Ovis aries: one gene and its partner. The protein of the gene in region 2 purifies or fractionates together with the protein of the main gene of each other region. This does not show direct contact. Links are inferred from orthologs where the notes say so. Each region holds a gene or a part of one and is shown on either strand. Other genes may lie near its edges. The genes, in order: NUDC and MAP4K1.

Region 1 (2,520 bases), on a different chromosome or scaffold from region 2:
AAAAGGACACATACGCTGTGTCCCAGAAATTCAGGAGTCACCCGTGGCTCATAGGGCATAGCACCCTGGGCAAGTGAACCCATTCGTCTTGTTACCATAACCTCTATGGCACTCTGCACTGTGACCTGTACTTCCTGCCAAAGCGGGGCAAGGGTCAGCTCTGGTGGCTGGACTGGGGCAAAAGAGAACACCTCTCCAGCCTCAGTGGCTCACTCCTGAGAAGCCCTAAAATCTGCAAGGGTCCAGGTCAAAGACACACAACAGGCTCCTTTGGGCTTCCCCCTGCCTTCCCAGCCAGATCCCCACCACACACAAAGCCCATCTGAGGCCTAGGCGGTGCCCCTAGGCTTTGCTGCTTGCTCTCTGCCTCTGGGAAGTAGTGTATAGTTTTAGAAACACTTGCTCCAGGACTAAAGGACAGACCCAGTGCAGTGGGAAATTGTCTCAGAGATGAAAATGGAAATCAAGTCAGGCTGGTCTTAAGTGCTGCTGAGTCATGGGCCCCTTGGAGAATCTGACATTGTTTGGTGCCTATAACCAACCCCTTTTGTTCAAAATCATACACAGACTAAAAGCCTTGTCGGGATCCTCTATTTAAGTAATGAGAAACTGAGCCCAGGGAGAGGCAAAGACTTGCCCTAGATCACACAGCAGAGCCTGGGTGAGCAGTCAAGCCCCCAGGTCACAGCAGCAGTCCTAAGAGGCCTGAACCCCAGAGAAAGGCCAGAGGGAAGAGAAGACGTGAGTGGAATTGGGTAAATGGTTTTAATGTGTAACAGCAGGCCAGCTGAGGAGGACAAGACCCCCCCCCAAGGCCCCAGCCCTTCTCCCATGATGGCCTGGGACCTGTGTGTGCCAGCCAGCCCCGTGCCTGCCCTGGCCCTGTGGCCCACCAGTCCCAGGGAGGGTGGGAGAGGAAAGTGGGGAGCCGGGAGCTCAGCCTAGAGAGTTCAGGGGAGCAAACACAGGGGCTAGTTGAATCTGGCCTTGGAAAAGTCCATCTCTGGATGCTGATCCATGAACCTGCAGAGACAAAGCAGGAAGGTGAGACAGGCCATCCGTCTCCCTAAATTTGTCCCTTTCTCTCAGCCTCCAACATGAGGTCTCATCTGTTTACAGCTCTCAGCAACCCGGAGCCATGCCAGACAGGAGTGGGGCCCCCAAGGTCTCCCCAAGGCTGGATGCTGAGGTGCCAACACCGGCACTGCTTTTTCTGTTGGAAACTGTGACCGCCTGTTACCCTTTCCTATCCTGTGGTGGCCTTGCCCTCAAGATGACCTCAGTAAGTGATTAGGGGAGGCAAGCCAAGGCTATAAAGCCATAAACTTGGCTGGCTCATCCTGGAAGGGGCGGGGCAGCTCCTGTGTTCTGCTCAGTAAACACTTGCCACTGTCACCCAGGTCCCAGCCGTAGACACCTCCCCCAAACCCCCATCTCTGCATCGCTCACTTCTTCAGAATCTCCTGTTTCTTCTGCTCATCGGAGGTAGGCAGCCCCATAGACTTCTGTCTCTGGTCGTACATCATCTTCTCCACCATGCTACGGGTCTCACTGTCCAGGTCTGACAGCTGGGGGCAGACAGTGACAGGGTGGGTGAAGGCCTGGGGCCACCCAGGCCCCAAACCTCCCGACCGCAGCTCCTCCAAGCAGCCTGGGCTCACCTTGGAGTTCTCGGGGTTTATCTTCTTAGTATTGATCTCGGGGTCACTGGATACCAAGCGGCTCCACCACTCCATCTTGTTAATCTGAGAGGAAGAGGAGGGCCACCCGGGGACGGGTGGTGGCTCACTCTGGACCCTGGTGACCACCCCCCAGCTCTTCCAGAACCAAACTCTCTCCCAGCCACATCCTGCATCAGGGACTTACAAGGCCTGAACTGGGACCTAGGGGCAGAGAGGCAAGACCTCTGCCCTCCCCGGTGGCTGGGGGAGACAGACACGGAGACAGTCAGCATGATAACGGAAAGAATAAAGTACAGAGGGAGATACTCATCAGGTGGAGGGAGAGGTTCGGATGACACACAGGGCTGGGCCTTAAACGACACGCGTGAACCACGTTAAAAAGCAGGGAAGGACATTCCAGGTGGGAGGAAATGCAAGGGCAAGGGCACAGAGGGGTGAGTGAGAGGCAGCCAAGGGGGTCAGGTAGGCTGGGCCAGGCAGTACATGCCATGGGACTCTTTCCTTGGACCCTGGCGCTTCACAGAGCCCATGTTCACTTACTGGGGTCTGCATCCCAGTTCTCTGAGAGGGGAGAACGCGGGCTTCCAGAGGGGCATAGCTTTCTACGTCTGGTTCACTGTTTTCCCTCCAGCACTTAGAACAGTCTCTGGCATGAGTAGGTGTTCAAGTATTTGCTGAACTGAATGCTTGTATTGATACAAACCTAATGGAGGGACTTCCCTGGTGGGTCCAGTGGTTAAGACTCTGAACTCCCAAGGCAGGGGGCCCAGGTTCGATCCCTAGTCAGGGAACTAGGTCCAATGTGCTGCAACTAAAGATCCCACATGCCACAAGGAAG
Region 2 (3,820 bases):
GAACACACGGGCCAGGTAAGCGTGTGTTATTGGAAGGACAATGGGCAGAGACATGGTGAATTTTAATATAAGGTCAGTCAGCAGGTGGCAGTGAAAAGCTCATGTCAATATGAAGCATTTGAAGATGTGACCAACTAACTCTTCCCCATCTCCCACCCCTAGGAGTCTTACGTCTGGAAGATGTACCAAGAGAGATGCTGGGATTTCTTCCCGGCTGGCGATTGTTTCCGCAAGCAGTATGAGGACCAGCTTAGCTGAGACACCCCTAGCTGGCCCTTCACCCCCCACCTCAAGTGCCTTATTCTCACAGCAAACCCCACAGCCCTCAAACCCCTCCCCCCAAGGCAGCTGGGGGAGGGGTGACCATGTACTGACGAATAAAGTCTGTGCTATACCCCTGACATCATTGTGTTGGATTGTTGATTTTTGGGGGGCGGGGGGGGGGCATCCAGGAATTCCGCTCTCCTCTCCTTCCCCCGACCCCAAAATCAAAATGAAAGCAGAGACTGAAGTCATGTTTATTGGGAGACAGGGGCATGCCAGGATCAGGAGTGTGTGTCCACTGGGGAGGGAGATGTAGAGACTGGTTCCTAACACCCCCTCAGGGACTCATTCCTGGATGTAGAGGTTGCTGGGGGCAGTGGGATCATCTGCTGGGCGCGTCTCCACCACCACAGGCCTGGGGAAGGAAAAGAGAAGTCAGTTCATTCACTCATTTACAGAGATGTCGATAGAGTTTGTGCCAGCATAGTGCTGGGCTAGAGCAGTGGATGAGCAGACACGGCCCTCGCCCTCAGGAGACCAACATGAATCAGTGAATTAGATGAGTACAAAGAAGCATGAGGCACATAGCAGGGAAACCCAGCTCAAGGGGTCAGCCAAGGTGTCACTAAAGAATGGATGGTAGAGCCTGAAAGAAGTTCAGGAGGGAACTTGATGAAAGGGCAGGAAAGAGCGTTCTGGGCAGAGAGAACAGCCTGGGCAAAGGACTTACATGGGAGAGGGCTTGACTGCACAAGTCATGGTTTGTAGGCTGTGACCAGGATTGGGTATTTATCTTGAGGCCACAGGAAGCTTTTAACCAGGTGGAGAGTGACACAATCAGATCTAGATTTTAAAGGACACCTCTGACATATTGAAAGGTCAGAGAGATCCTTGAAGAAGCTCTCACTGGCTAAATCTGTGAGTATTTGTGCCTCAGAACAGATAATGATAGTAACAGATTATAACCCATAGAATAAAATGAAAATCAGCTTCCCTGGTGGTCCAGCAGTTAACAATCTGCTTTGCAATACAAGAGACACCAGTTTGATCCCTGGCCCAGGAAAATCCCACTTCCCACAGAGCAGCTAAGCCCATGAGCCACAGCTACTGAGCCTGTGTGCCTAGAGCCTGTGGTCCACAACAAGAGAAGCCACGACAAGACAAGCCTACACACTGCAATGAAGAGCGGCCTCTCGGCAACTAGAGAAAAGTCTGTGTGTAACAACGAAGATCCACCACAGCCAAAAATAAACAAGTAAGTAAATCTTTAAAAAAATATATAAAGTGGAGGATCATCTTTTTAAAAAAGAATAAACAAAAAATCCTTGAGACTATGCTAAGATACACACAAACACACAGTCATATATACACACATACATACAAATATACATACACGGTGGAGAAGGGACAGCTCTTTCCTACAGTAGAATGCCGACTTAGAAGAAATGATAGAAATAGGAAACTCACCATTTAATAGACTCAGGCAAAAATCATCAAGTCATGGTAAAATTAGGTGAAACAATAATTTTACATTGTCTCAAGAAATTACCCCCAAAGAATACTTATTTATACAGAGAAAAGAAGAGTAGCATTATAGTCAAGAAAGCTGGCTCATTCCATTTTAACCAAGTGACCGACCAAAGATAACCTCACCAGTAGTGGGACAAACTGACACACACTTCCTGATCCAATGTAGTGAGAAGGATACCCCATCACTTCTGTGGTATTCCTGCCCCAAACGTGTAACCTGGAAACCTCAAACCCAACTAAGGGACATTCTGAAAAACAAATTTCCTGTACTCTTCAAAAGTGTCAAGGTCATGAAAAGCACAGGAAGTCTGAAGAACGTTCCAGGCACAAGACTAAAGAAACATGACCCCAAAATGCAGCCTGTAATCCTGGATGATATCATGGACCAAAAAAAAAAAGTATTATTTTTTGGTTACAAAGAGCATCATTGGAACAACTTGGTGAGACTTGAGTGGGTGTGTGAAATTAGAAGATAGCGCTATCTCGGTGCTCTTTTCTTGATTTTGACAGCTGTATTGTGGTTTGTAAGAGTATGTCCTTGCCTTGATTTAGGAAACATACACTGAAGTATTTTGGGGTAAACTGGCATCATGCTTGCAATTCATGTGCCAACAGAAAAAAATTACACATATATGCGAGGCAAGAATAAACCAAATGTGGTTAAAAATAATATACAGGGAATCTGGGTGAAGGGGATACAGAATTCTTAAATTTATTTTTGCAACTTCTCTGAATCTAAATTTATATCAACATATCACTAAAAAGTTTAAAAAGAATGAAAATTCCACCTTCAGGCTTCCCTGGTGGCTGGGTGGTGAAGAATCTGCCTGCCAATGCAGGAGACACGGATCCAATCCCTGATCTAGGAAGATCCCATGTGCCATGAGGCAACTAAGCCCGCGCACCACAACTACTGAGCCTGTGCCCTAGAGCCCGGGAGCCGCAACACAGCCAAAGCACAGCCCCAAATAAACTAATTAATTAAAATTTTTTTAACAAAAGAAAATTCCACCTTGGCTGCTCTATGGGGAATAGACTATAGGGGACAGAGATAGAAGCAGGGAGACCAAGTGAGAGGATGTCCAGGCCAAAGATTCAGACGGCTGGGGACACCTCAAGATACCCTCTTTACATCCAAAGCACCCCCCCTCCCTGGTCCTCTGTCCTCTGCTCGAAGTTCATACCTGGGGGAGCCAAGCAGACGGAAGGTGAGGGTGGGATCTCTGAGCTCCTGCAGCAGCTGGGGAAAAAGGTGCTGTATCAGTGTCTAGAAGACTCCTCCCCTCTCCCTTAAAGAGAGTAAGGGGCAAGGTCTCTGAACTCCTCAGGTCCAGAAATAATCATTGCTGCTAACACCACTCATCAACTGTGTGACCTCAGGCAAGTTACTTAACCTCTCTGCACCTCAGAGCACTAACCTTTGAAATCATAATACCTACCTGACAGGTGATCCCGAAGATTAAGGAGAATACAAAAGTGTAAGGGCAGAGCCTGACACATGGTGTTCTGTGGATTAAGCATCATTTTCACTCCATTTTCCGGATGAGAAAAGTGAGGCACAGAAAGATTAAGCTATTTGACTAAAATCATTCAGCTGGATTCCAACCCAGGTAGTCTGGTCCATGCTCTTAACCCACTTGTCTCTATTTGTGACCCCATTTTACAGTTAGGAGTCTGAGGGAGGCTCAGAAAGAAGCGAAGTCACACAGTGACCCTGGTTGAGCTCTGGTCCCAAGAGACACTGGAGCAGAGACGGGGACCTGTCTGAACTGAGCCTAGAGAAGTGTCACCTCCAGGGACTTTACACCCTGAGTGAGTCTGTTCTCCCAATGGATCTGATGAGTGAGATGATTGACGTGGGAGGGGCTTGCGGGTGCTAGGAGGAAGGAGCTTACCTGATCCGAGCCTAGAGCCCAAACCTGCACTCCATGCTTCCAGAAGGCCTGGAGCCGACCCCCGACCATAGCTGGGAGGAAAGCAGCGCCTGTTACCCTTGGGCTCTACTTAAGCCTCCAACCTGGACCCC

What was found.
Region 1: the proteins of MAP4K1 (region 2) and NUDC purify together in Homo sapiens (affinity purification with mass spectrometry; 3 studies listed by BioGRID and IntAct, with this or other methods). This does not show direct contact. The link is inferred for Ovis aries from reciprocal best matches to the Homo sapiens genes MAP4K1 and NUDC.

What each region holds. Positions count from the first base shown.
Region 1 is NC_056055.1:240,000,713-240,003,232, forward strand, and holds the end of NUDC (nuclear migration protein nudC), read right to left. Parts: intron 1,746-2,520; coding exon 1,662-1,745; intron 1,569-1,661; coding exon 1,450-1,568; intron 1,024-1,449; coding exon 972-1,023; 3' UTR 747-971; downstream 1-746. UniProt on the Homo sapiens protein: Plays a role in neurogenesis and neuronal migration. Necessary for correct formation of mitotic spindles and chromosome separation during mitosis. Necessary for cytokinesis and cell proliferation.
Region 2 is NC_056067.1:47,739,295-47,743,114, forward strand, and holds the end of MAP4K1 (mitogen-activated protein kinase kinase kinase kinase 1), read right to left. Parts: intron 3,761-3,820; coding exon 3,690-3,760; intron 3,035-3,689; coding exon 2,979-3,034; intron 680-2,978; coding exon 610-679; 3' UTR 505-609; downstream 1-504. Other genes in the region: RYR1 (ryanodine receptor 1), read left to right, coding at 1-15, 163-258. UniProt on the Homo sapiens protein: Serine/threonine-protein kinase, which plays a role in the response to environmental stress. Appears to act upstream of the JUN N-terminal pathway.